Drosophila melanogaster: one gene and its partners. The protein of the gene in region 2 interacts with the protein of the main gene of each other region in a pairwise test. Each region holds a gene or a part of one and is shown on either strand. Other genes may lie near its edges.

Region 1 (8,397 bases), on a different chromosome or scaffold from region 2:
GCTATAGAATTAATTAAAAGGGGAAAAGGAATCGTTATAATCCTTAAAGAACTTGACGAAAAGAACTCTCTCCTAAAAAAACCCTATTTGACTAAATTTACATTAGAATATCAATTAAGGATTATAGTTGAAGTAGTAGTAGTAGTTCATAGTAGTTCTATATCAAGCATAGTTTAGAAAGTATAAACATAGAAACATAAGCAATGAGCAACCTATAAAATAATACGAAATATGATCTAAGGATGTACACATATTGTATTTAAAGGGACTACGGATTGTTTACAGCTGGCGGAGTTTTACCCTCCCCAGATCCGATTACAAGGTGGAATAAGCCTTCGGGAGCCTGACAGGGATGCACATGAAGCTCTACATACATTCGCGTCCTCGCAGTGACAAAGCTGTTGACACACAAACCCCACTTATACACATTATACTCGACACTTTGCATATTGTAGTCTCGACTTAACCTAAAAAGCGTGCAAATATGTCGAGGGTTTGGGAAGAGGGGTTGATGGACAAGGGCGGTTGCGAGGGGCTGCTGATACGAACCTTGATGAGAAAGGGCCAGTCCAGGTGGGTGGTGCTCATGGAGTCCTCGCTGCCGTAGTCATACACCATGTCCGCCGCCACCCTCATTCCGGCGGACTAATTTTTGGCGGACCCTTCTCAACGGAATCTGCGATCTGGTGTACTCGATGCTCTTGGTCTTGTCCTTGTTGTTCTGGTTCTTGTTCTTCTACACAGCACTGGCGGATTGTCCTCTTCGTGGCGTTGTTTCGTGTTGGTTGCTCTTCACTGGCACAAAAGGACTCCGCATTCCTGCACCGTTCGCAGGGGCATGGTTGGTTACACCTATGCCTGTACACCTATACTACCACCTGGCTGGATTGACTGCGAAATAGGGCGTAGCACCTGGATGTCCTTTTGCAGCGAGTGTCAAGCGATCCTGCGGCCAATTTACTGCGGGTACATTGCAGTATTTGCACACATTTTCGCACTGCGACGTGCGATACGGATTCGTTACAATCGGGGCCAAGCCAGAATAGCTTGTGGTACAACAGGAAAACAGTGGAGCAGGCAAACAGTCAGTGTGTCCTGTGGCCACGACAGGGATGGCTACACGTCCACGTCCTCGATGGGCAAGCCTGTCCTCTCTTGCGCTCTCGTTGGTCGCACAGGCATCCAAACAACCCCCGAAGGGTTCGCGCGAAAGCTTCGAAAGCTCAGGCGCCGAAGCTCGACGCCACCACCCATCCTTCGCATCCCTGACCAGGTATACCACATTCCGCTTATACCCTTAACTGGTCCACTGCTGTCTTGATGAGCCCATTACAACCATTGCTAAGTGGGTGCCTCAGTTAGTACCAATTGCTGCAATCTTTCCACTGACCAGCATGATCAGTTGGGAATCCATTATATATATATATATATGTATATCCTTTGCATACAACATGGTTATCCCTGTAAACATGGAAGCAAAGCTTTGGGATATGGTTTGACTCCTCGGTAGCTTCGATAGCTTTGGGTGTCTGTACAAATCGCTACAGAATGCTCCACTTACATACGTGGGCCAATGTGGGCGTGGCCATAGTTTGACGCAAAGTTGATCTGCGCGGGAAAAGCGCTTTGCAACTCCTATCTGATGGATTCTATATTTGCAGCAGGAAAACCTCTTTCTCCTTAACGAATTTTCAAGTAAATATGATATTTCAAATCTAACTTTTGAGTTTCAAGCCTAGTTTTGGATTTTAATGATCCTAAATATTGATCAATATATTGACTTTTAACCTAACTGATGCAATTATTTTCTCAGATCTTCGACTTAGAAAACTTACTTTGATGCACTTTGACTTTGAGCTGAAAGTATAAAAATCTTTCAGGCTTACGAACGGACAAATATTATAATACACAGTTTTAATTATAATACTAAAATCATAAATCATAATCATGCGTATTTGGAACCTTGTAGAAATGACCATTGAAAGCGAATAGAAACTGTGCTTAGTGCAACTGCCGTCGAGGAAAACAATGTCACAATTATTTAGTGTTTCGCATTTTACTAGGACACAAACATATACATAGATGCCGACCATAGGACATATGGGGTTACAGAGTTTTGGAATGCGGTTATGCAACGTTGCTATTACACGTTAGTACACTGAGTGACAAGCAGCTCCGATTAACAATTAACAGATCTCTCGACGAACCCGATTGGATTTTATATGTGTGCATATGCATAAATAATATATGTAGGTGGCGATTCGGCCAATACACAATATAATAATAATACGTAAATTTACAACTTATTGTTGAGCTAATCTTCAACACACGCAAATCGATAGCTCCAATTGCTTTGTGCTTATCCTATGCCATCGGATGTGCGCCATGGAACGCTTATGGAGAACGGATGATGGCCTCGTAGGCGGCGAAGATTATGTTGGCCACCTCCACGGAGCGCGATTTGAGGCTGAGAGTGGCTTCCGGATTGCCCGGCTGCAGCTTTAGCTCCAGCAGCACCCAAATGTTGTTGGTCAGCTTGAGTGACTGGTAGAGCATGTCCTGGCCCTCGACGTTACGCTTGGCGATGGTGAAGATGTTGTTGGTGGTCATCTTGGAGGCGATGCCGTCGGTAGTGCCAATTACACCGCTCAGGGTGTACTGCAGTTCGTTGGCGGCGGGGATCTCCTTCCAGGTGTTGAGGAACACGCGCTTGTCCAACTGCCCATCCTCGGCGAACAGCACGTTGCCGTGCACCAGGCACGCGAAGTAGAAGATGTCGATGTTGTTCTTCACGGCCACCTGCAAGTTGTTGAGCGGCTCCATGCGCTGAATGGGTCCGTTGGTGCCCAAGGCCATGCTGACCTCGATCGATTGGTTGGGTGGAAGGGGAGCAGCCTGCATGGGCGACGCGGGCACCAGGCCGAAGCTGTTCTTGTTCAGTTGGATGGCGAAGTTAGTCATCGGCTGCATGGCTTTGTTGGTCAGAGTCATGTCCATGAACACCTCGCCGTTGCGGCGTGAGAACGTTCCTTGTATTTCGAGTCCCTTGCCCTTCTCCGCTGGCAGCCATGTGACCTTGGGAATCTGAACACCCACCGATAGCGTTGCTCCGCCCAGTCCAAAAATGTCGCCTAGCAGGCTGGTGGCACCGCCGGGAGCCGCCTCTGCTGGCGGTCCACCGAGGAGTATATCAAGACCGCCGCCCAGAAGGTCCACATTGCTGGTGGCGGCCGGAGCAGATGGCATGGCGGGTGCGTTGATATCCATGGAGAGCAGATCTCCAATGAGCGACTCCTGGTTGGGAATGACCATTGCCTCTGAGCCGGCTGCGTTTTCTGCTTGCTCTGCACCAGCTGCAGATCCAGCGGCTCGGTTGGGCAGCGACTTGCGCACACCGGCTCCGCGACCCTCCACGAACGCGGTGGGAGGCTTATGATAAACGCTGGCCAGCGAGCTAATGTGGCAGATGAGCTCGTCCAGCAATGTCGGCTCCAAAAGGTCGGTCTCCTCTGAGATGAGTGGCTTATCGGCCAGCACCACCTCCTTGGCGGCGGCCGGGTCCGTGGACAGGAGACGCCAGTAGATGAAGCCACGGTCACGCAGATCGGGGTTGTCCGAATCCTGGGTAGCCAATGATAGTACGTGCTGCACCAGCTCCTGGGTGTCCGACGGGCGCTTGAGGAACAACTTAACCACGGCCGTCAGCAGCTGCAACTGCACCTGTGCATTTTCATCCTGGCGAAAGAGAAAATAGCAATTCAAAGTCCTGATAATGTTGGCAAATCCAGAGAAAAACTTACCTGGAATCCTTCAAGGAAGCTGTCAAGCAGCTCGTCCGCGTTGTCAATGCGCTCTGCGTACTCGCCAATGATCCAAACCATTGATGCGCGTGCCTCCGGCTCGTCCAGAGTGTCCAGATTCTCGCACAGCGTGCTGATAATGCTCTCGTACTTGTTGGGGTACTTGCGGAAGATGTCCTTGATGACCACAATGGCCTCCTGCACCACGTAGTTGACCTTGGTCTGGATAAGATCAAGCAGCGTGGACACGCAGCGTTCGGCTGAGGGCTCCACCTTAATGGCGCATCGCCCGATGGCGCGGACTGCCTTGCGCACAAAATCCACGTCCACCTCGGTGGCGTACTCCTTCAGCTCGCTAAGCACCTGGGCGATGTTGCTCTGGTTGGCCAGGCGGATCATAATGTCTAGCTTCTCCAGTTTCACGTAAATGGGATCGTTGTATTTCACGAAGAACACCTTCATTTCGTGCTTGAGAATGTCTGGCCGCTTCTGGACAATCAGATTGATGTTGCGCAGGGCCACATACTGCACCTCCGGCTCTGAGGAGAGCAACGTAACCAATGGCGGAGCCAGCTTCTTGGTGAGCGTGGCGCAAAAGTCGCTGTCGCTGGACAGCATCTCGAGCAACTTCATCAGCACCTTGACGGCGCTCAAAACGACGGCGGCGTTGGCGTGAGCCAGACGCGGAGTGATTCGCTCGCAGATGGACTGCGCCTCGCGCTCATCCTTCGGGCTGTAGTTGGCCAGCGAGTCCAGGATAAAGACCTGGCCCCACTCGGTGCACTCGTTGAGCGCCGTCAGCAGCTTGTTAATGGTGACCGAGTTCATCTCCACGAGGGGCTGGCCGGACTGACTTGCCTCGTTAATCTCGCTAAGAGCGGCCACCGCATTGGCCACCACCATGGGATTCGAGTCAGATAGCAGATCCTTCAGTTGGTCCAGAAAGCCTTGGTCCTCCACCATTGTGGCTGAAATGTCGTACAGCTTGGCCACGCACACTGCGGCCGTCTTGCGCACATACGGATCCTCGTCCTTCAGGCACTTGCGCAGCGGCTCGCACAGGTACTCGGTGATCTTGTCCACCCGAATGCAGCCCATGGTGCGCACGGCCAGCGCCCGGATAAGCGGATTGGAGTCCTCGCAGTCCTTCACGAACGTATTAACCGCCATGATGGCCATGTCCGGCTGCGATTTGGCGTAGTTCATCAGATAAAGGTAGACCAGCTTCTTCAGCTCCAGGTTGTCCGTCTGCATGCAGTTGACCACGTCCGGGAAGAGGGCGGACACGTCTTTGCCCACGGTCATGCTGGCGATCACCTTCTTCACCGCCTCCTTCTTCTTCTCCTTCTTGTCGTTATTCAGCTCCGACTTGAGCTCGAAGATCTCGCCCTTCTTGGTGGTGGTGAAGTACTTGGAATCAGTCATCGTGGCTGCTGCTCCTAGCTGCGTACTGAAATTGGAATCGAGATTGAGTTTAGAGAGGGGAACGTGGAGTTTCCGGCACAAGAAGTGCGATTATTGATTGCAATCCCCCCTCACAACACCACACCACATCTTGGGGGCGGAATCATCCGAATACCAACACATTCGCCCCTATCGCAGCTTGAACACGTCTCAAAAGGGGCCCGATTTTCGGGATGACTCAGAACTGGCCAGGGGAAAAAGAAGCCCTCAGTTGGACTGCGCCTATGCCCACTTGGGGAGACTTCTGCCAACGCAGCTTGCTTTTAATTACCTTTCAAATAGTTGATTTTCGGGCACAAAGATTTGTTAGCTTTTCTCTTCTATCTGCAATTAGTGCGACCGTTTACAGGGGAGTGACTTGTCGAAGCGCTGGTATTTTTTCTGTTTAGTATTTTGATAAATCGATTAGTTTTTGCGATTTTATCGCAAACTGATGTTTTGTGTTATTATCGAAACATTTTTAAATAAGTGGGTGCATTAAATTCCTTTTTTTTGGAAATTGGTGTTGATCAAGGTCAACATATCCTACTCGTAAAAGAGCTCAGATTAGGAAAATCATGCAGAAGATTTTTCCAGATATAAAATAAAGGACAGCCAATGAAGTAAACTGAAATCTCAATGAAAAACGAAGTCGACGCTCTCACCAGAGAGCAATATAGCGAATTAGAGTGAGATGGCTATATTACATCTGAAAAGTAACGGATCGTAAAAGCAACAGGCTAACTTTGTTATTTATAATAATGTTATACAAAATTTAATTTTCAATTGTATTTACAAATTATTTATGTTAAAAAGTTCAATATCTTCACCTAAAATTGATGTCAATATCCTTTTTCAATATTAAATTAGAATGAAAGACGGCAGTAACATGAAATAGAATATTTATTTCAATAAAATGCGCTCCTTTAAGTCTGAAAGGAAAGTACATTATGTACGAATGTTTTAATAGAAATTTTTAATTGTTCGATGCCTTATCAAAAACCGAGACTTCCGTGATCCCCCATTGAAATAAACATAATTGAATATCCTAACAATTTTATTTTTTAATATTCTCAAGAAATATCATTTAATAAGTTATTAACACATAAAACAAATCAAGAGTAGTATTGAATTAAAAAATGTTTTGTTTTCTTATATTTTAACATCATTTTCATTTCATTTGCTTTTTATCGATCCATTGAAATATATATATACATATATATATATATATATATATATCATCATTTTCACATGGGGATTTTCCCATATAAATTGTATATTAATAGTTGCATATTAACTTCATTCGCTCACGACTTTCTCATCACTTGTATCCTCTTTTCTTCTCCTCACTTTCATCTATTTTTTTTTTTTTTTTAATAAATAAGTTCGGAATAACTTTAAAAATTTTGATGTTTCATTAGTAAAAGTTGTAAAGTTCGCTATTACACCTTAATTATATACACGTTTAAATAAATCATATTCCAGTAATTCAGTCTTATGAAATAAACAAAAACTTAGGTCCGGTATATTCAGCTGGAAAATCAATCAATAAGAAAACAATCGTCCAAAGCCATTTCGAATCAATAAAACAATGAAATGCGGATTATTCCGATTTCGTTTTTTTTTTTTTCATAATCAGGCTTGGCTCCTAAGTGAACGGTCTTCTTCGTCCTTATCTTCGTTTTTATTGCTGCTCTTATTGTTGTCCGGTTCTTTTTGTTGTGTGCGTGTCTATGCGTGTTTGTGGATGCGATTAGGTTTGTTCGTCCTCTGCCTATCCAGTTTTTCTGATTCTGAGTGAGCATAGACCTTGGAGTGGATTTTATCCTCCGTTCGAGGGATTAAAAAAGTACGGAAACAATATGTGGTAGTGAAATGCATACTTTTGTTAACGGAAGCTTCTGGTTTTCCCTTTACACTTATCAATATATATATTGCACGTTATGTTGACTTGGTTGTTATTCGCTTTAAATTGGAACTGTAGAAAATCTATTAAAACTATCATATTCCCATAACATTTATCTTAATTTGGTGGTATCGAAAGAAACGAAAGGTGGAAGAGCGAGCAGCTTCAGCCCGCAGTTACTGGATTGCCTGTACTGTAACATTTGTCATTTGTTATTGGTATTGCCTATTTATGTGGGTGACCGTACATATAGTACGGATAGTACGGATTGTAACTCTTCGGAGCGCACACTCAGCGGATAATTGAGAGCCCTTTTCGCCGATGAGCACTGTAGTCCGCATAAGGAAATGAGCAAAGTTTGACCCAACTTGGTAACTAACGAAAGCAAAACATGGAACGGGACTTTAGCAATTGGTTATCGGCGATCGGTGATCGGGTATCGAAACTATCCGATGAATGTGGGCTCGCTGAGCTCCGTTACGTTTTGTATATCAACTTTAAGCTGTGTGGTAGGATATGTTATTCATTAGTTGTTACATTTGTATCTGAGTTTCGTTTCCCTTAGTTGCATTTTTCTAGTGTCTTGTTCATAAAAATATACACCTTTGGTAGTATGTACGTATAAGTTGTGTATGTACAAATCGTGTTCGGTTCTGATGTTTTGAAGCGAGTAGAGGGAGTCCTGGTGAACAAAGGCATAGATAAATATTACGTGGTGCAGGACCGTTGGGTGGCACTATATCTTAAGTAGTTGGTCCGGAAAGCTCCTCTTCGAAAACCCTAATATTGAGTGAGTGGAACATGGAACTCGTTTAGTTTCGGTCTACTGGTTCAAGAAGTGCATGGTGCATTGATTTGGCACTCGAAATTTAACAGATTCAACGGAAATGAATGGACTCGAACGAAATACATACATACATAGGTTGAAATCAAGAATCGAATGTCTTAGACGGTACGTTTGTTTTGTATATAAATAGTGTTCTTCTCTGTTGCGGGGCTAGATCGAAAGATCGAGGGCTAGCCCTAGGTTATTGAGTTTTTGTTGCAATCTTTGATATTCGCTATTCGGATTCTTTCCTGTACAAAGTCGTGAAGTACAAAAGGAATAAATTATCATAAGTATTATTATTATTATTAAAAAGGTTGATTTTGCTTTAACTTGCCATACTTGTAATTTAGCTAAAAATAGTTATGCATGGTTTGCTTGTACATAGTATATAAAGTGGAAAAAAGTATGCTTGTACTTGT
Region 2 (8,643 bases):
ATCAACTGCATCACCTCGTTCTCCAGATCGCCCACCGACGAGTTAAATGCCATGGCCATTTTGTGCATATCAGCTGACATATAGGGGCTAAAGTACTGGATTAGCGCGCGATTGCGTATCTTGGTATACAGAGTGGTTACATGGGGCGCAATGTACATGTCAACCAGCAGGTTGTCCCTAATCTCATCCAGAAGCGTCAGACATGAGGCGTATTTACTTTCGTAGAACTTGAAAATAATATCCCTGAGTTGGGGCTCCAGTTCTAAGAACAATTTAAAGGATGTAGAGGCGATGACCAGACGCTTAAGCTCCTGTCGATCAAAGGTGGCCAGGGCGCAGAGGCCACCATAGACCGCCACATTGCTGGTGGAGATCATTTCGGGAAAGTCGCAGTGATCGAAGTTAGCATTGAGGAAATGCTTAGCGGCCACCTTATATTTCTTTTGCTGCAGTTCCGCCAGACCAGCAGCGCATTCAAGGCGAGTATGAACCTGGGCATTAGCCTCCTTGGAGCCCTCGGCGAAGTCCGGGGTGCTTTCCGCCTTGGATATGTAGCTCATCACATGGGCCCAATTCTGGAGATAAATTGACACCTTGATCACGTTAAGGCACATGTTTACCACATGCTTGCCACTAGTGCAGTAGTCTCTGGCCCGAGAATAGCACTTCAGGGCATTGGTGAGGTCGCCACAACTGAGGTAGTGGTCAGCCAGGTCATCGTGGCCCCTCCGGATGCTCTCCTTGATCGAATTGGACTTGTAGTTCTTGAGGTCTGAGTCCAGTTTCTCCAGCTTAAGAGCCGCCTTCTTCATCTTGGTGTCTACCCAAGCGGCATCGTAGGCGAAGGCATCCTTTTCGACAGCGGGTTGAGCCTGTCCTTGAGCCTGAGCCACAGGTTGTGCCGCGATATCCGGAAGGGGAGCAGCTGCCAGGGGACCGGGAGCCGCTGCTCCTGCCTGATCTCCGCCAGCATTTGCTGGTGGCGCAGGCGCATTTCCAGCGTTTAGATCACTCAAGCGCTTGTGCAGCACTTGGTAGAGATTTACGTTGTAGGTGGTTTGAACGTAAGTAATGGCCATTTTCAGAGCCTCCACGGCTAAAACCGGGCAGACGTCCGCCACATAAATTAGGCGATGGAGCCGCACGATCCCGGCATATTGGTTGGCGTACACTTCGAGATCGATGCTGGGGTTCTCCACCACAATCTGCTGCTCCTCGTTGTTTTCGTTGTCCTCGTTCGGCGGCGCGATGTCCACTTGCATCGGCTCCACGGCGTTCTATTGTTGGAGTAATAAGCGATTTTTGCTGATTATATGGCTTCAGATAACGCATTTTTGGTTACTTTTTACCTGCATGAGTGGTGGCATCGGCAGCACGGGCATCCTGCTTCTATTTGCAACGAAAGTCCAGGGAAAATGAAAAATTTAAGCTACGTTTTTGTTTATTCGTCAATTAATTTTTCCGATTCGCAAATTATTTTACACCGATAATCTAGAGATGGACAATGTGAACAACGCTTTTGATCGATAGATGACAACTGTATGGTAGAAGACCATTTTCCACTTTTCCAACAAATAATATAACAAAAAATAACACTGATATCAGTTTAAAAATATTTAACAAAGATAGTTGGTTTTAGGCTAAGTTCCGATATCAAATACTTTTATAATCCGCGACTACAGGTCGTTATCAGACACTTTTCATTTAAAAAAATTATCAAAATGATAAAGTACCCAAACAAATTATTCTTGACATTTCATAATATATTATCATTTATCATCAGATATTTCATCATAAATATAATAATTTAGTGATCCTTTAAGAATAATAACTTAGTTTTCAGTTTTTTATGAATCCACATGTGTCCAATAAAATATTTTACAGAAAGAGCGATATTTGATATATCATAGAAAAACTATCACGATATAAATATTTACATTTATTTTAATATATCGATAAATTGATATATTTTTCCCATCCCTAATTTCAGAAGAAGAAGCGCACCACGCATTAGAAAACTTTCAATTGTTTGTGAAATTTATTAAATAAAGTAGATAATATTAATATAGAACTAAGCCACGATGTCCAACATAACGGCGGCGGTTATAGCCAACCGCAACAAAAAGCATTTCCTGGGCGTCCCAGCCCCATTGGGCTATGTTGCCGGCGTCGGTCGTGGGTAAGTACTACCAAACGCGCATCTCGCAAAGCAAAACTTAATGCTAATGGTATATTTTCTATTTTAGAGCGACAGGATTCACCACTCGGTCCGATATTGGTCCTGCCCGTGATGCAAACGATGTATCCGACGACCGCCATGCTCCGCCGGCCACCAAACGTAAGAAAAAAGACGAAGAGGAGGAGGAGGACGAAGACTTGAACGACTCAAACTATGACGAGTTTAGTGGTTACAGCGGCTCCCTGTTCTCCAAGGATCCGTACGACAAGGATGACGAGGAGGCGGACGCTATCTACGATTCGATAGACAAGCGAATGGACGAAAAGCGCAAAGAGTATCGTGATCGCCGGCTGCGTGAGGATTTGGAGCGGTACCGCCAGGAGCGACCGAAGATCCAGCAGCAGTTCAGTGACCTGAAACGCTCACTGGCCAGTGTCACATCGGAGGAGTGGTCCACGATTCCTGAAGTGGGCGACAGTCGAAACAGAAAGCAACGAAATCCAAGGGCCGAAAAGTTTACCCCTCTGCCGGACAGCTTGATATCCAGAAATCTTGGCGGCGAGTCGTCCTCTACGTTGGATCCGTCCTCGGGCTTGGCTTCTATGGTGCCTGGCGTAGCTACTCCAGGCATGCTGACACCTACGGGTGATCTTGATCTGCGAAAGATTGGCCAGGCTCGTAACACTCTTATGAACGTCAAGCTTTCGCAGGTTTCCGATTCCGTGACAGGCCAAACGGTGGTGGATCCCAAGGGCTATCTCACCGACCTGCAGAGTATGATTCCCACTTATGGTGGTGACATAAACGACATCAAGAAGGCTCGTTTGTTGCTCAAGAGTGTGAGGGAAACGAATCCTAACCATCCACCAGCTTGGATTGCCTCCGCCCGTTTGGAAGAAGTGACTGGCAAGGTTCAGATGGCGAGGAATCTGATAATGCGGGGCTGCGAAATGAACATCCAGTCTGAGGATCTCTGGCTGGAAGCAGCTCGCCTTCAGCCGCCAGATACAGCCAAAGCGGTGATCGCGCAAGCGGCTCGTCATATTCCTACCTCGGTCAGGATCTGGATTAAAGCCGCAGATCTGGAATCGGAGACCAAAGCTAAGCGTAGAGTTTTCAGAAAAGCTCTAGAGCATATTCCAAATTCAGTTCGTCTGTGGAAGGCGGCTGTGGAACTCGAGAATCCTGATGATGCACGGATTCTACTCTCTCGCGCCGTGGAGTGCTGCAACACCAGCGTTGAACTTTGGTTGGCTCTCGCCCGCTTGGAAACCTACGAGAACGCCCGAAAGGTTCTAAACAAGGCTCGCGAGAATATTCCCACTGATCGCCAGATTTGGACCACAGCTGCTAAGTTGGAGGAGGCCAATGGTAATATTCACATGGTGGAAAAGATCATTGATCGATCATTGACCTCGCTTACCGTCAACGGAGTGGAGATCAACCGTGATCAGTGGTTCCAGGAGGCCATCGAGGCGGAAAAATCAGGAGCAGTCAACTGTTGCCAATCCATTGTTAAGGCTGTCATTGGAATAGGAGTGGAGGAGGAGGATCGCAAGCAGACTTGGATTGATGATGCTGAATTCGTAAGTATTAAGAAACACTCATTTTTCAAATTTGTAACATTTTTGGAACAAAATAACCGTATTATATTTTCCCTCTTTCAGTGCGCAAAGGAAAATGCATTTGAGTGTGCTCGAGCTGTTTACGCTCATGCCCTCCAAATATTTCCCTCGAAGAAAAGCATCTGGTTGCGAGCCGCCTACTTTGAAAAGAACCATGGCACCCGCGAATCTTTGGAGGCCCTGTTGCAGCGAGCCGTGGCTCATTGTCCTAAATCGGAGATTCTCTGGCTGATGGGGGCCAAATCCAAATGGATGGCTGGAGACGTTCCAGCCGCGAGAGGCATTTTGTCCTTGGCTTTCCAGGCCAATCCCAATTCCGAGGACATTTGGTTGGCTGCCGTTAAGTTGGAATCAGAGAACTCGGAATATGAGCGGGCGAGACGCTTGTTAGCCAAGGCTAGAGGATCGGCACCGACACCAAGGGTGATGATGAAATCAGCTCGCCTGGAATGGGCTTTGGAAAAGTTCGACGAAGCTCTGCGGTTGCTGGAGGAGGCGGTGGAAGTGTTCCCAGATTTCCCCAAACTGTGGATGATGAAGGGTCAGATTGAGGAGCAGCAGAGACGGACAGATGATGCGGCTGCCACCTATACTCTGGGCTTGAAAAAGTGTCCTACGTCCATCCCACTTTGGATTCTTTCCGCCAATCTAGAAGAGCGCAAAGGAGTGCTGACGAAGGCTCGATCCATTCTGGAACGAGGACGTTTACGCAACCCCAAAGTGGCTGTGCTCTGGCTGGAGGCCATCAGGGTGGAGCTGCGTGCGGGCCTCAAGGAGATTGCCAGCACAATGATGGCAAGAGCACTGCAGGAATGTCCCAACGCTGGTGAGCTATGGGCGGAGGCTATCTTCATGGAAACCAAGCCGCAGCGAAAGACCAAGTCAGTGGATGCTCTCAAGAAATGCGAGCACGATCCACATGTGCTGCTAGCTGTATCAAAACTGTTCTGGTCTGAGCACAAGTTCTCTAAGTGCCGAGACTGGTTTAATCGAACTGTAAGTAATTTATACTACCTATTAAATGTAATAGAAACAAACATGTTCAGAGCTAATCATTTGTTTATTTCAGGTCAAGATCGATCCAGATCTAGGTGATGCTTGGGCATATTTCTACAAGTTCGAATTACTCCACGGCACGGAGGCGCAGCAGCAGGAGGTCCTCGATCGGTGCATTTCTGCAGAGCCCACGCACGGCGAGTCCTGGTGTCGGGTCAGCAAGAACATCCAGAACTGGCAGTTCAAGACACCTGAGGTGCTGCGTGCTGTTGTCCGGGAGCTATCCATACCCATCTAAGTTTTAAGTGTGTTTGGATTAAACGCGTGGAGCCTAGCGCTGCACTTCTCTATAGCCTTTAATTATGCGATAAACTTGTTTGAAGTGTCTGAAGATAAACTCGAAAAGAAACAGGACAAAACTGACAGCAGCTCCACACCCAAAGATCCCCAAAGCATACCGGCATTCTGTAATGCCAATGGAGACAAATCCGCCAACTCCGCCCTCGCATTTGGGCTTCTGAGGAATCCACTTTCGCTCCTCGCGATTCACCAAGCTTACTTCTCGCTGCCAGCGTAGTCTGTGGGTTAAAACAAAGTGTTTTATGATTTCCTCTTTTCGAACAAGTTATTGAATTGTAAATTATAAAAGGGTTTTTATCCCTGTAAAATTTTTAATTAGGCATATTTTGATTAGTTACACGTTTAAATTACTATTGGATTTTTAGTATAAAATTTAATAAATTACCTATTTTATTTAAATGTAAAATGCAATTGGAAAGCGAAACTATGTTTATATATAAAATATTCTTACTGCCTTCGAATGAGCTCCTTGTAAGGAAAGTTTTTCCTTGTTGGAATAGCTAGCATGGGCAGCTGAAAAGGCTCCAGTTCCATTAATCCGCACTTTTCCGGCTCGCTGAAGGTGTCGCTGACGATTTGGTAACCAGCCTGGAGTTCAACCTGGTATGCAAATAAGCCGGTTCGCATTTTCTCCATTCCTAGCAAGGGGCGCATATAGATATTTTCACCTTTGGACGCGATCTTTTTGTGGTAAAGATTCTTCGTTACGGGATCTGTGGACTCGGTGAAGTATATTTTATTATATTGCGTGTCCTGAACTCCGATTTCTAGAGGCGATTGTCCCAGATCAGACAATGACTGGATAGCATCCGACGGACTTTGCAGCAGGGCCACAATATTGGCCGAAAACGAGGTGAACAAGAAGAGAGCTGCAACAAATGTGGTGAAGACAATGATTCTCGCCGATCGGTTCCGCACCTCTACGTAGAAACCCTGCTGGCACATAGCACCCCAAACAAAATTTAGTGTATCCATGTAGGACATGTCGTGGTTGTGTGGCGAAAAGAAGAGTTCCAGAACCAAGACCACGGTCGTGATGATCAGTAGCATCAAAATGGACACCCACACATCGTTCTCAAAGGGCATAGCGAATATATTGGCCACTGCCGAGAGAGGTGGCTGCCGAAACATGATCCCAGCTCTCACTCGATAAGTCTCAGCCACAAAATCGACCAATGCAATACGATCCAATCTCATGAAGATCGCCAGCTGGGCCAAGTCCAGTTCATAGCGTTGAAAACGTCCCATGAGACCATCGAATGATCCATTTGGTTGTCGCCATCCGTAGTTCACTGTTTGGTAGGTATTGTAGCTGGAAATGGAAAGTGTTCGATCCTGTGTATTTATATATACTCAAGAACCATAATGTTTTTGATCTAAAAAGACAACAAGAGGAAATCCTTCTAACCTCATATTCAATCTATTGGCCAGCTCCAGCATTAAGCGATGATTAACCTTCGATATAGTGTCAATATGCCTCAGCGACAAATCTTCAATGTTAGTGAATAGATCCGGAAAGGCAATTACTATGGCCGAATTGAATACTATGCCCTCCAGATCCTGTCTATAAGTTATGGCCGAACCAAAGTGCTGCAGGGCATGAATGACGTGCCGCGAATTTCGAATGTTGTGCCCCACCAAGGTTCTTTTCAAAGGCTTCCAAGCAGCTACCTTGTATAGATCGATTAAACTGCAAGAGAAGTTGCCAACGTTTTCATAATGAAGGACCCGCAACTCACTATCCGGGGGAATGAATATTTCCGGATCCTCGAGTAAATCGATATCGCCTGGATCTTCGGTGAGGAGCAGCCAGAACCGGTTGGTGGTGAAGTAATTATGTTCCGAGGCCGCAGACCAGCGGAGTAGATTTAAGGCGCACTCGCTGCTGAACTCCAGCAGCAGGATGCCCATTTTGTATGGCAATGCGGGGAGCAGGAAGGACGTCTCCCAGTGGGTGGAGTTGTTGGCGTGGAAACTCTTCGGCGGTGGAGCGTCCTTATGTTCATCCAGGGCATCGACATGCTGCAGGTCCCTCAGCGAGCTCTCCGTGCTGACCTGCACATAGAAATTGTTGAGGTTGAAGTGCTGCCAAAGCTTCCAAAGGCGAAAATCCGCTAGAGGGGAAAAAACGAGTACAGAGAAAACAAAATTTAGTATTCGATTAATAGAGGTGTCTAGAAGTATGGAACGGTATATCTAATGTAAAAACTTTTGCTTATGTAAGTAGCATGGTTTTAATGTGCTCAGACCAACTTCAAATAATAAGGATTAAGTGAAATTAGGCCTTTGGCAAATTCAAACGTGAGATATGGATTTCCTAAGCTCATTTTGGCCAGTGTACTGTGGGGTCATAAATTTGTCCCCAGCAGCACATTGCATGCAGAGGGTTAATTCACCAATGTCCGTGTGACAAACGACCAGCATCAGGCTGTGAACGCCGTGGTGGCGATAGTAAGCGACTAGCATATCCGGCAACTGATTGCCCCACCGTGTTTTCGGGTCCGGATCCTGCCGGGAATATTCGCTCCGCCAGCTGCCAGCGACACGTGGTGTCCCACTGACGAGCAGGAAAAATATCAGAGGGAGCCAGTGCGCGACTTGAACTTTCATCACTGCGACTGCGAGTATTAACGAGTTGCTGTCCGTCCTTTCGCTTTTGCATTTCCCCGACGCGCTTTTTTTCACGGATTGGAGTCCCCGGCTTTTATAGCCAAAAGGGCAGTCGCCAGTAATTGCATTCAAGAATTGCATTAAAATTATGCATTGATTACACTCCGCTGCGCTTCCTTTCGGTCCACATCCACGTCCACATCCACGTGCACCCATCTGCTGTCATTACGCAGGGCAATCTTCGCGAGCAATTTTGCGACAACTGCAATTGGTCATCGATGGCGTTTAATTGGTCCGAGCAAGTGGCGCACAAATTGTCCGCGTGGAAGTGCGGACAAAGTCAATTACGTGTCAACGACGACCGGAACGGAGAAAGTTGCTTCGACATTCTAGACTTGGACTTGGCTTTGGGATAAGCACATAAGTTAGGGCCAAAAGGAATTGGAAAGTTTTGCAGAGGGTTTAATTTCGCCAATTTACTTGGTTCTATCGGTGAATTGGTTATTATACTATGAGAACAGTAATTGTTTTCAAATGTAGGTAAATAAATTACTCATAAATTACTTCATAAATTACCAGTTGTAATAAAAATATTCTTGATGATTTTTTTTGAATATTAGTAACTAAATTATTTAAAATTTTAATTTAATTTCGAATTCTCGCACAAGAGAAAATTAATCTTTCGCAGCCTCAAAAAGTTAGCTTTTAGAAAAGTTAAACATGCAAATTATTCCTTATAAATCTGACTTTAAATAAGCTAAAATCAGTTTAAGAGCCTGTATTTGGCCCGAAGGCATGAAGGCATTAGGAAGCAATTAAGAAAGCTGTTGCAAAAAGTAAGATGGCAAAATATAAGCAAATTTGATCAAGCGT
Region 3 (6,393 bases), 6.8 Mb from region 2:
TCTACTTCGCCAAGAACTGGGAGACCTTCCAGCACGTCGTCTACTGGGCCCGCCAGCACGTAAACAAGCAGTTGTTCGTGTACGCCGTGACCATTGCCAGTTTGTTCCGTGATGATATGCAGGGAGTCGTCCTGCCGGCCCACTACGAGATCCACCCATGGAGCTACTTCGATAGCCAGGCACTGGAATGGGCTGAGCACTACAAAATGCACGGCTTCCATCATGTCAAGCAGATGGACAACATCTACAACGTGGTGATCCGTACGAACTATTCGAACGTGCACGGTTCCCTGAACTACGATCACGATTTGGCCTACTACCTGGAGGATGTTGGCTTCAATGCCTTCTACTACTACTTCAATCTGGACTATCCGTTCTGGACGAAGGGCGGCGAGGAGCATGTCCTTAACAAGGATCGTCGCGGTGAGCTCTACCTGTATGTCCACTGGCAATTGCTGGCCCGTTGGTACCTGGAGCGTCTGTCCCACGATCTCGGCGAGGTGCCCGCTTTCAACATGTATGTGCCAACCGAATCCGGCTATGCCAGTAACCTGCGCACCTACTACGGCGTACCCCAATGGCACCGGGAGAATCACCACAGCTTCTACCACGAGCACAACTACGAGCACATCGAGCATGTGGAGATGTACACGCAGCGTGTCATGGACTGGATCCACAAGAACGAGAAGTTCGATGTGGAGACCATCAATGTGCTGGGCAACATCATCCAGGGCAATGCGGACAGCGTGGACAAGAAGTTCTACGGCAGTCTTGACAAGCTGTACCGCTTCATTGTGAACGAGGGCCACCATTATGGCCATGGTGACGAGAGCTTCCCTGGCCTTTTCATGCACTACGACACCTCTATGCGCGATCCGATCTTCTACGAGGTATACAAGACCATTGTCAGCCACTACTGGCATCTGATGGAGACCTATCCGGAGTACCACAAGAAGGATTACGCCTTCGAGGGTGTCCACATCGATGCCGTCCACATGCCCGAAAGTCTGACCACCTACTTCGAGCACTTCGACTCGGACATCAGCAATGCCGTCAATGTGGAGCCCGCCGTTGAGGGATCCGCCGATCCGTTGTACACCTTCGGCAGGAACTCCCACTACAAGGGATCCAGCTATGTGATCAAGGCCCGCCAGCAGCGTCTCAACCACAAGCCCTTCGAGTTCACCCTGGACGTGACCTCGGACAAGGCTCAGGATGCCGTTGTGAAGGTCTTCATTGGACCCAAGTACGATGAGCACGGACACGAGATCCCACTGGAGCACAACTACCAGAACTTCTTCGAGCTGGAGCACTTCAAGGTGCATCTGGAGGCGGGCGTTAACCACATCAAGCGCGCCAGCGGTGACTTCTCCTTCTGGGTGAACGATCGCACCACCTACCTGGAGCTCTACCAGAAGCTGATGGACGCCACCAACAGTGACTACAAGTTCAAGCTGGATCAGTCGGAGGCCCATTGCGGCGTGCCCAACCGAATGATGCTGCCGCGCGGCAAGAAGGGCGGCCAGGTGTTCCAGTTCTTCTACATGGTCTACCCGTACCACCAGCCCGAGGTTGCCCAGTTCACTGGCTACGATCCGGTGGTCAGCTGCGGCGTGGGACACGGTTCCCGCTACGTGGACGCCCTGCCCTTCGGTTTCCCCTTCAACAGGCCGGTGAAGCATGACTACTACTTCGATGTCCACAACTTCAAGTTCGTCGACGTGAAGATCTTCCATCGCGACGAGCACACCAATGTGGTCTAGATCCTGGACCCAACGAATACGAACCCCAAAACGAACCAACGATATTGGATAGATTACATATGTTTTCCTTGTTATATCTTTGTCTGCATCCACTTACCCCATAGAGATCGTAATTTAACTCAATTTTTACCCAGCTTGTCAGTCCACCTTGTGACCATCGAACAATAAACGTATTCAACACAAGTCACTCTCTTTTCAATTTTTCAAAATATATTTTTGGTTTTCTAGTTATTTTCCTCTACTTACAGAATATATGTAAATAGAAGGAACAATAGAATAAAGGGCTTATTGATACTAGTTTTAAAGCCTACAGTTTTTAGCAGACGAATTTTCAAGTTAAAAATAGGCATTTTTATCTGGAATAAACACAATAGATTGTTAGATTTCTTAAATTACAATTTAATATTAAATGGTAAAATATGGTAACAAAAATATTTGCTTTATGCAAACCACGCTTGACATATTTCAGAATATGGTTTCAAATTGTATCATATTTTAAAAATATTAAAAGTTAAATTCAAAATATTTATAAATAATTAACCCTCACATTTTTTCTTTCACTGTATTAAGGTGCATTCCAGGGATGCGTACAACCACCTGCAGTTTGCCCCGTGAACGATAACTAGTTCGCTCATCTGCACCAATTGCTCGCATCCCTGGTCGCTAAAAAAACACACAAAGACTTGTTTTGTTGTTCTTCCCCAAAAATGAGCTCCTGGAAGGACAGTCTCACGAGCATTCCGGGCACGGTGGCGCAGTTGATTAACGAGAGCGCCAGCAACCTGTTACACGCCTCATCCACGCTGGGATCAACAGTTGGCCTTGGAGGCTCTGGCTCCACTGGATCTGGATCCGAGGCCGGAGGCTCCGAGGAAAGTGGTCCACAAGGTGCGGAGTACAGGGCGTTGCCCATTCCCGCGTCCTTGGTGCGCGAGCAATGGCGCCTAATCTTCACCAGCGATGCCAATATCCAGGATTTGCAGGCGGCCATCGCCCATTGCAGAGATCTCGTCCTGCTGAGCGAGGAACTCAGCGAGGAGCGTCGCTGGTTGGTGCGGCACCTGGTAGATTTGCGATACTCACTGCAGGAGCTGGAGGAGGCCCAGGAGCAGCATTCCCTATCGTCGGACATGGTAGTTATGAATGCCATACGTGCTGTGGTGGGTCATCATTTTGTGCCCCATCACCCGCATCATGGCAAACGGAATCGTCTGCAGGCAGCCGCCAAGAGGAACTACTGTGACCACTGCACCACCATTATTTGGAGTGTGGTGCAGAACTCGTACGTGTGCAGCGATTGCGGATTCCTGGTCCATCAGAAGTGCATCGATGGCGTGAAGAGGGTTTGTGCCCATGTCCTGGTTTCAGAGCGGCAGCATCCCATTTCGGAGATATGTCCAGAAATCGGACTCGCCTCCCAGGGATACAAGTGCGCCGAGTGCGGGACGATGCTAAATATAAGTAAGTTAAGGCTACTCTTTTGGTTCCGAATAATTAGACTCCTTCCTCGTAGAAAATACCTGGATTGAGCCGCGTCTATGCGACTATAGTGGATTGTACTACTGCCCTCGCTGCAACTGGAACGACAGTAACTTTATACCAGCCCGCATTATCCACAATTGGGACTTTTCGCCACGCAGAGTGTCGCGCACGGCGCTCCAAGAGATTAGGTTGTTCCTAAATAAACCGCTCATTCGCTTGGAGGAGGACAATCCCAAGCTGTTTGTGTTCGTAGAAAAATTGTGTGCGGTAAAGAAACTTCGCCAAAATCTGGTGCATATGCGCCACTATCTGGCTGCCTGCAAGATTGCCAGCGAGTTGAAGCTGGTGGATCAGCAACTGGGTGTCCGGCGACATCTGGCCCAGTCAAATGAGTTCTATTCCCTAAGTGATCTCAGCCAGGTGGAATCTGGAGCGCTGAGCGAATTTCTGCAAGGAGTTTTCAAGGCATTCAATGATCACATACGATCCTGCCCCATGTGCCTTGCCCAAGCGTACATTTGCGAGATTTGTAGCAACAACGAGGTGATCTTTCCCTTCGACGATGGCTGCATCAAGTGTGATCAGTGCAATTCCATCTTCCACCGAGTTTGCCTCACGCGCAAAAATATGATTTGCCCCAAATGCATTCGCATCCAAGAGCGGCGTCTTCAATTGGATCGCATGAAGAGCACCGAGGACGATGATGATGATGATGATGGAGTGGCCACCGATGATGACGTGACTGCCGCAGAATAACTGATCAAATCAGAGTTCATTGTGCTGTGTTGGTTTTTAATATGTTATCATATGTACATAAAATGTAACTATAAAATGTATAACTATATATGAACTTTTATTCTTAGATTTATCATAACTCTTTAGTTATCCTTTTTTCCATATTTTTCCCGCTTGTGGAATTTTCTGGGATTTATGCCATATGCCTTTAATCGATCGTCGGTTATTCCACTATTGTTATTTTGCTTGTTTTTCGCCTTAAAGTTGTTCGTTTTCTTAGCTGGGAAGGGTGCACTTGGCTTTTGGTTTGATTTCTTAAAGGGATTGGTGCCGTTAGCGTTTCTCGGTCCCTTTTTGTTTCCACCTTGATTTTTATGAATTGGTGGCAGTTCCTGCCTTTGTTGGGATTTCGATTGTGGCTTATTGAAAGGATTATTACCATTTGATTTTTCTGCTTTTGCAGGCGCACTTTCCGTAGTTTTAAATGGTTGGTTCGACTTTGTCTTTGCACTTTTATTTGCTTGATTTTGGGGTTTTTGGAATCCATTTTGCACGTTTTTAGGCTCTTTTTTGTTATTTTTTAAGGCATTATTGTTTTTCGTTTTCTCCGTGCTTTGTGGACTGTTTTTAGTTTCCTGATTTGCGTCATCTTTGCCCTTTTTAGAGGGAGTATCGACTTTTTTCTTAGAACTTTCTGCCTGGACATCTTCAGTAGATCCATCCGCTTCCTTTGGATCCTTGGAGTCACTTTCTTCTTTTAGAACCTTAGGAGCACTGGCTGCTGCTGCGGCAGCCTTACGTTTCAGGCGTTTCCTCTTTGATTTGGACAAACCTTCTGTCGAGACTTGACCATTTTCGGCTGGAGCTGTCGCTTCAGCTGGTGTCACTTCTGGTTTCTCTTCTGCTGGCTGCTCCTCATCGTCAGAACTGCATGAGAGTCAAGTTTTAATACACACCCGTTCGAAATCGAAATTTTATTGTAAGTTACTCACCCTTCTCCATAAAGACTCTTAAATATCTTTCGCTTAAGGTCTTCATTCTTGGCTTTCATCTTGTAGAGACGCTGCTCCTTTTTCTCTACGTGTTCCGGTCTGTTTTGGACAGCTTTCTTTAAGCTAGCCCACTGGTTAAGCTCCTTGTTCTTGGCCAGCAAGATCTATTCAACAGAAAATATAATATCATTGTTCAACTTTAACGAAGCTAATCGAAAATGTACCTCTTCTATCGTCAAACCGAAATCGTTTGGTGTGGTTTCCACATATTTAAATCGACACGGTTGATCCCCGATGATGTCCTCGCAATCCATTTGGTAGTACTCATCGATGTACTCACTGTACGTCTTTTCGTCCTCAGGATTGAATGCAGGCTTTTCCGCCTGGATCATTTCCATAAAGCGATTTCGTCTACCCTTTCGTCCTTTGCGACCACGAGTGTTTTCGATGAGCTCTTGTTGAAGTTGCTCCTTGGCCGTGGACGGATCGTAGTCGCAATCCATGTTGAAGTCGTCGTCCTCGCAGTGTCCTTCATAATCCTCACCGCCCCCATTGGCGTGCTGTCTAGGATCGTAGTTATCCCAATCTTCCAGCACCAATTCATCGATATCCGAGGGACATTCTGGTTTCTCCTCGCCTTCATCGACATTGTAGTACTCATCGTCGAAGAGCTCCTGCATTCGACGATCGTGGGCCGCCGGGTCAAAGTCCTCCTCGAGTTCTTCGTCCCGGAAACCAAGCTCATCGTTGCCAGTGACCGCTTTTAATTTGCGTATCTTTTCATCGATCTCCTTACGCTTCATTTCCTTGACCAGTTCCAACTCCTTCATCTTTTGCTGTTTCTCCTGATCCTTGCGCTCCTTCAGCTCCTTGCGTTTTTCTTTCCTCTTGTCATCCGTGCGACGCAGGGATTGTTCGATGGTGCGGGGATAGCGCTTTATGAAGTCCGCATCTGGCTCCTCAAAGCGGAAATTGTACTTGTGCTCAAACTCTGCCTGCTTCTCAAGTTCCTGCTCATCCTCGGAGAGCGGAGCAGCTTCGCCCACGATCTCATCGTAGGTGGGAATGGCGGACTCATCCGTGTTTGCATAGCCCTTGTTGAGAATGTAATCCCTGAGGAAACTCTCGCCCTGGGTCAGCTTGTTGCTGCTCCAGTACTGTTTTAGAGGCTCCAACTGCTTCTTGTCGGTTTCTTGAATCTCAGCTTGTTTTCCCGCCAACCATTTGGCAAAGTCTGCCTCCTCGGCAGCTGTTTGCTCCTTGGTCTTACTGCGCTTCTTGAATATACCTCCAAATTCCTCATCCTCACTGTCGTCTTCCTTGTTCATCACCTTCCGGAACTCGGCCTTTAGACGGCGCTCCTCCTCCACGGCGCTCGGTGACTGCGCACGTTGGAGTTCCTCGTGCTCCTTTTCCTGCTG
Region 4 (6,717 bases), on a different chromosome or scaffold from region 2:
TGTTATTTTTCGATTCATAATGGTCCGTCGAAGACAAGAGAACTGCAATTGCTTACATTCGACTCGAAATTTGATTTTAAACAGGGGAATCCATCGCCTTTCACCGGGCACAGCATGTGATCAGTATTTTATGGCAACGAAAGTGAAATCTTAGCCTGCGGTTGCCTAATCTAGATTTGATTTTGATTTATTTGGGCCCTCGATGGAGCCAATTTGGGAGCTGAGGAAATAAAAGGAGAGACGAAGCCGCGAAATCATTCATACATTTCGAAATTCATCCGAATCGAATGCTTGCACTAATGTAATTATGCTAAGCATATGCAAATTAGCTCATTCACCCAGTAATTATTCACGTCTCATCGGTGATCGAATTCGTAAAACAGACCGGAAATACGAACAGCGAATGCTCTGCTAGTTTCAAAAGTCTATTTAATTTGGTAAGATCGAATAAAGTTGAGAAATTAAGACAGCGCATGATTAATTACCCATTAACGCGATTGCTGACAGAAGCGGATAGTCAGCGTGATAGAAAAAACCAATAATAATTAGTTTTTTATTCGTTTAATCGATCATTATGTTTTTGATTGTCTTAGAAACAATGTTGATTTCTGCATAGGCGATCATTAAACGGTTTAGTTTCTTCAAAACCAAGCTTGTTAAACAAACAATTTATTAGTTTCTTTGTTTTATTTTGGTTTTGCCAAACATTGTACTTACTCAAATTACTCAAAAAGACATAACATCATTTCTTATGTCAATGAAGACACTCCACTGAATATTTACCAATAAAAAGTATCTACTGGATAAACATTTTAATATCGAATAAACGCATAGATTTTGAGTGTGGCCTGTTTTCAAATTGTGCAGATTTTCTAGGAAGCAACGTTGCTTTTAATATGTCCATAAATAAATATTTATAGCGGCTCCACTTATAGGAAACTTCACGATCTGCACGGCAGGTTGGTTCGATTGGAGGTGAATGAACGGGTCGAGTTGCGGCCAAGTGATTAACGTTGACAGATAGATGTGGCAAGAAAAGGGGCATGAAAAGGGGTCGCGGGATGCGATGAGATGGGATGGGATGGTGTAACTATGTATTGGCCAAGTGGTTACCTAACGCTTTCCACTCGCTCTGCTGTCCACCGTTCCAGATGCGGATGTGCTCAACGATGTGGCTGCAGATGACGCTGGGACTGGCCCTGCTGGGTGCTGTGTCATTGCAGCAACTGCAGTCGTTTCCCAAGCTCTGCGATGTGCAAAACTTCGACGACTTCCTCCGGCAGACGGGCAAGGTGTACTCGGATGAGGAGCGAGTCTATCGCGAGAGCATCTTCGCGGCCAAGATGTCGCTGATCACGCTGAGCAATAAGAACGCCGACAACGGCGTGTCCGGATTCCGGCTGGGCGTCAATACGCTGGCCGACATGACCAGAAAGGAGATAGCCACCTTGCTGGGCTCCAAAATCTCCGAATTTGGCGAGTAAGTAGCACCATCTTACGCATATCTAGAGCTCGGGGGAAGTCCCCTTTTTGGCCATAAACGAATTATCACCCAGCTTATAACTTTCAAACGGGTTTCGGTATCGTCGTCCATATGATTTGTAACGTTACGTAGGTGCCGATTGGTTTCCCGGTTATGCTAATCAAGAAATCAGAATTGATCAAATATTCCGACCATAGGTTTGTGGTTTCCCGAAAACTATAACCAAATGGGTGGAAACAAACAAAACCCTTCCATATCGAACTTATTTATTACGACGAAGCTCCATAACAAATGTTTCATAACTTATCGGTTGTTTGTCATACATTTAAGAACATTATGAATAACATTTAAATGTAGTCTGGTTGCCACTTAAGTAAGCTACTAATTTGCTTTAATCTTTGCTTAACGGAATACTAAAATGTTTTACTTACCTTGCAGGAGATATACGAATGGCCATATCAACTTTGTGACTGCCAGGAATCCGGCGAGTGCCAATCTTCCCGAGATGTTCGATTGGCGCGAGAAGGGCGGAGTGACGCCACCGGGATTCCAGGGTGTGGGATGCGGTGCCTGCTGGTCGTTCGCCACCACAGGAGCGCTCGAAGGACATCTATTCCGGCGGACTGGAGTGCTGGCCTCGCTGTCGCAGCAGAATCTGGTGGACTGTGCCGATGACTACGGCAACATGGGCTGTGACGGTGGCTTCCAGGAGTACGGTTTCGAGTACATACGCGATCACGGTGTAACGCTGGCCAACAAATATCCGTACACACAGACGGAGATGCAGTGCCGTCAGAACGAAACCGCCGGACGTCCACCGCGCGAGAGTCTGGTGAAAATTCGCGATTATGCCACCATTACTCCCGGGGATGAGGAGAAGATGAAGGAGGTGATTGCCACGTTGGGACCGTTGGCGTGCTCCATGAACGCGGACACCATTTCGTTTGAGCAGTACAGCGGTGGCATCTACGAGGACGAGGAGTGCAATCAGGGCGAACTGAATCACTCGGTAACCGTGGTGGGCTATGGAACGGAAAATGGACGCGACTACTGGATCATCAAGAACTCGTACTCTCAGAATTGGGGCGAGGGCGGCTTTATGCGCATCCTCCGGAATGCAGGTGGATTCTGCGGCATCGCCAGCGAGTGCAGCTACCCCATTCTGTAGGCTCACAACTGCGCCATGCAATTAGTTAGATAGTATAGTCAATTAAAAACCACGAATTTATAACTTTGTTACTGTAGTCGTAAGCTGTGTGGGTCACCACATCGATTCCATGAGTCACGCGGTTAATAAATGAAACAAGTGCCTTATCGGTTTGTGTTGCTTTCTGGGGAAATTCTGAGAAATTGGATCGTAGTCTTAACGGCTATGCACACAAAAATTAATTTTCGGTCTTATTTATTTTTTGAGAAACATTTTCTTAATGAAGAACAACGCTGTGTGGGAAGTTGTTTGAGAAAGTAATAAATTTCAATTTGGCAAAGTGGATAGAAAATGAACAATGCACACATAACCGTATAACCGTGTAAATTTGCGACAAATTTAATATAAACAAGAAATAACGCTACAGTCGGGTGTCACGACTAATGCATACCCGTTAATCAGAAAAAGCTGCAAGCAGCGTAACGTTTGTTTACAGCATTTGTGTGGAAAACACATACATATCTAGAATGTAGTTGTTACATTCCTATCAACGAGCCTAGTATTCCCGCCGAGTAATGGGTATAAAAACGGGGCTTAAATTTCAAATTAATTTAATTCAATACTATTGCAACAAATCATAAAGCAATTATGCCAGTTGTTATATATTTGGTGGGCAAGGTCACGTAAATGCAGTTACTCTTTTAAAAGATCAACACTTAAGAGAAAAGAGAGCAAAAGAAATCGCTCTCGTTGTCGGTTTTTATTTAGATTTCTCTCTGAATGCAGCTGATTTTGAGTACTTGCAATTATATATGTATGTATTCCCCATATAATTCGCGATTCTGGCAGTGCGGAGCGCAGTACGAGAAAAGTGTTCAAGATGACCTCAGCTCGAATTTTACTTGGCGTCCCACTGCTCCTGTATTTGATGGGCGTGGCTCTGGGCGTACCAGTAAGCACATCATCACCTGCTACACAAAAAATCAATCCAGAGATTGGGGTTACTACTGGGAAAAGCGACGCTGACTCATCGACACCCACAATTGAACACACCTCTGGCTTATCTGAGTTCGAGGAGGAATGCCAGTTTGCATGGCAAAGGTTCTTGGTAAGTTTTTTGATCGCATAATTCCAAGAAAGGGTATCGTTCAAGGAAGTTATTTGTATACACTCCAAGGTCGACTTTGATGTACACTACGATAATGACTACGAACGGCAAAAGCGACGTGATATATTCTGCGAAAATTGGCAAAAAGTTCGCGATCACAATTTGAAATACGATTTGGGAGTTGTCAGCTTCAAGAAGGGTATCAACCAGTGGAGTGATCTTACCTTTGAAGAGTGGAAAGAGAAACAAACTCCCAAAGTTATGCCAGAAATCGCTAGTGAATCATCAAAGGAGGAGCGAGACAAAGTCAATTGCCAGGCTGCATGGGAAAAGTTTTTGGTAAGATTAGCTAGGTTATTAAAACCAACTTGGTATTAATATGTATGATATGAATTACAGATTGACTTTGGAGCGCAGTATAAGAATGCAAATGAAACCGAGAAACGCCGCAATGTATTTTGTGCAAACTGGAGGGCGATTGTGGAGCACAATGTGCAGTATGAAAAGTGGGCAGAGCCCTTCAAGAGGGACATAAATCAGTGGACTGATCATACTATTGAGGAACGATCTAGTCCTGCTCCCGAGATTCGTAAGGAAGAAGCCACTACATCTACATCCGAAATAGATAATGATAATATCATATGCCAGCCGGCTTGGGAGAAGTTCCTGGTAAGATATGGTTGGGTATTTAAAGAATTTTTATTAAAGTTGCTTTTATCAATTGCAGATTGACTTTAAGCCGTCTTATCAAGATGATACTGAAACCGAAAAGCGACGAAATGTATTTTGCGACAACTTTAAGTCGATACATAAGCACAATGTTCAATTCGATTTGGGAAATATTTCTTTTAAGAAGGGTATAAATCAGTGGAGTGATTTGACCGTTGAGGAGTGGAAAAACAAACAACGACCTGCTTTTAATCCAGAGTTTTCTAAAGTTGAAGCTACTACAAAAATATCTAAGGATAAGAGGGATGATAATACATGTCAGGCAGCATGGAAAAAGTTTTTGGTAATATTTGGCTTGCAATGTAAATAGAATTTGAGAATTTGAATGAATATATCTTTATTACAGATTGATTTCGGTGCGAAATATCAAGATGAAAAAGAAACAGAAAAACGCCGAACTATATTTTGCGACAATTGGAAAGCGATTCAGGAACACAATGAGCAGTTCGAATTGGGAGTGGAATCTTTCAAGAAGGGCATAAATCAGTGGAGTGATCTAACTGTAGAAGAGTGGAAAACCAAACAACGACCTAATTTAGCTCCAGAGTTTTCAAAAGAAGAAACGACTACAAAAATAAGCAAGGAGAAGAAATACAAAAAAAATGTTTTTTAAAAACTAGATGATAAGATATTGTACCGAGTACATTTTCAGATGAAATGTTTGTCACCTTTTAAATACACGCAAAAATATTGCTACTAACGCAAAGAGAATACCTTAGTGATTTTGGGTTAATTTTTAAAAATATGTATTTATTATTATTTCTTGAGGGGCTGTCCAGTTGAGAATCTTGCTTGAGGAGTTTATCTATTACAATAGTGTTTCGCAAATGTTCAAGCCGATTTTATGGCTGGGTTCGCTATTTAAATCGATCATTAAGTTTTAAATGAGTAAATTTTGTTTTATGTTTCTTTCACTACCTTTTTGTTTTATAACGCACACGAACTCTAAATGATTAATTTATACTTGTATATTTGCTGAGATCCCTATCTCCTTGTTGCATTTAACAGGGCGCATTATTCGTATTACACATACAATCCGTAAATATATATAATATATATGTATATAGTATTTAATTTAACAAATACATTTGTAGGTTATCGCAAGTTGCTGCACTAAGTGAACGTTTTTATGTAATCAATATGTTTACATTCATTGATATCTGAGTACATCGAAGTGGACAACACACCGCTTCTTTACAATGCATAATGGGTATTGTTGGGGCATTTATAGTTACTATACAAATCTTTTGGTAGGAAGGGGGTGGCAACAGTAAGCCTTGAACAAGCCCTATACCATTTCATATCTTCAGCGTGTTTTTGCGAACCATAACTAGAAATATTCCTGCAGTAATCTCCCGAGTACTGAATCCCTCACAACAATTCTACGGTTATTGAATCTCTTATGGTTTAGAATTTACATATTGTTTGGCGTTTATTGTAAGTGGTTGCATTTGCTGCTCATCTAACCAAGCATCGACCCTGGCCACAGGTTCTATATTTGTTGGGTAAATCTCAGATGGTAAATTGGATATGTGGCTTGAGCAGTGTGGTTCGTACATATGTATGTCCTTCAGGTGGCCGAATCGCATCAACTATTTGCATCAACTATTTGCACTGCACGTGTGTAAATTTATCTAAAAAAACATCATGTTTTCCTCTGTCTCGAGCTATTGCCATTGCTAACAAGCTGATCATCGGGGGGACCAGGGTCTGGCACCAAAACAAATCAATTCAAATCAATTCAAATGGTACGTACACGTAAACACTAAATAACTAACAACGTTGAAAGCGCGGTCTGCATGTATACATATGGGATATATAACTAGTTGTATATCTGTATAATATATATATATATATATATATATATATATATTGCAACAAATTTCCACTACAAAAAACTGCACACTCAACTTAAAGGGCTAGCTTACGAGTTATTCAAACTACTCCTTATCCGAACCATCCCATCTCATCCCATCCGATCTCATATCGGATCGGATCGGTTTGGATATATCCCTTGACTCTTCCAATAGCTAAAGCCAGTGCTTGGATTGGTTTCAGCTGCTTTTGCTGCCTGCTTGTTGCATCAAGTGTTATTGTTTTGGTTACTCTTGTTATATGTTCGACATCGGTGTATATGGTTAAAGCCAACTTGTGTGTTGTAGCTGTTTAGTCGTGTAAATCCTTGCCAGTTGCACTACAAAATCGAAGTGAGTGTGTGCGGACAACGGAGGAGCAAGTGTGGTAATTCCT

What was found.
Region 1: the proteins of Prp6 (region 2) and AP-1-2beta interact in a two-hybrid assay, tested with the Drosophila melanogaster proteins (one large-scale study listed by BioGRID).
Region 3: the proteins of Prp6 (region 2) and DEF8 interact in a two-hybrid assay, tested with the Drosophila melanogaster proteins (one large-scale study listed by BioGRID).
Region 4: the proteins of Prp6 (region 2) and CG6357 interact in a two-hybrid assay, tested with the Drosophila melanogaster proteins (one large-scale study listed by BioGRID).

What each region holds. Positions count from the first base shown.
Region 1 is NC_004354.4:19,728,228-19,736,624, reverse strand, and holds AP-1-2beta (adaptor protein complex 1/2, beta subunit), read right to left. Parts: upstream 5,622-8,397; 5' UTR 5,536-5,621; intron 5,251-5,535; 5' UTR 5,226-5,250; coding exon 3,801-5,225; intron 3,736-3,800; coding exon 2,395-3,735; 3' UTR 2,044-2,394; downstream 1-2,043. Other genes in the region: CG14234 (uncharacterized protein), read right to left, coding at 550-636.
Region 2 is NT_037436.4:18,903,413-18,912,055, forward strand, and holds Prp6 (pre-mRNA processing factor 6), read left to right. Parts: upstream 1-1,959; 5' UTR 1,960-2,081; coding exon 2,082-2,179; intron 2,180-2,246; coding exon 2,247-3,765; intron 3,766-3,846; coding exon 3,847-4,800; intron 4,801-4,847; exon of another isoform or gene 4,848-4,873; coding exon 4,874-5,098; 3' UTR 5,099-5,131; coding exon of another isoform or gene 5,132-5,378; 3' UTR 5,379-5,562; downstream 5,563-8,643. Other genes in the region: CSN1b (COP9 signalosome subunit 1b), read right to left, coding at 1-1,277, 1,350-1,382; Ir75d (ionotropic receptor 75d), read right to left, coding at 5,132-5,378, 5,612-6,472, 6,569-7,274, 7,557-7,770.
Region 3 is NT_037436.4:12,129,753-12,136,145, forward strand, and holds DEF8 (differentially expressed in FDCP 8 homolog), read left to right. Parts: upstream 1-2,393; 5' UTR 2,394-2,470; coding exon 2,471-3,224; exon of another isoform or gene 3,225-3,276; coding exon 3,277-4,001; 3' UTR 4,002-4,082; downstream 4,083-6,393. Other genes in the region: Lsp2 (larval serum protein 2), read left to right, coding at 1-1,763; CG5645 (uncharacterized protein), read right to left, coding at 4,124-4,907, 4,973-5,136, 5,197-6,393.
Region 4 is NT_033778.4:13,836,568-13,843,284, forward strand, and holds CG6357 (uncharacterized protein), read left to right. Parts: upstream 1-3,485; 5' UTR 3,486-3,510; coding exon 3,511-3,738; intron 3,739-3,807; coding exon 3,808-4,077; intron 4,078-4,137; coding exon 4,138-4,407; intron 4,408-4,465; coding exon 4,466-4,750; intron 4,751-4,813; coding exon 4,814-5,080; 3' UTR 5,081-5,176; downstream 5,177-6,717. Other genes in the region: CtsL2 (cathepsin L2), read left to right, coding at 1,152-1,480, 1,922-2,651; Syngr (synaptogyrin), read right to left, coding at 6,717-6,717.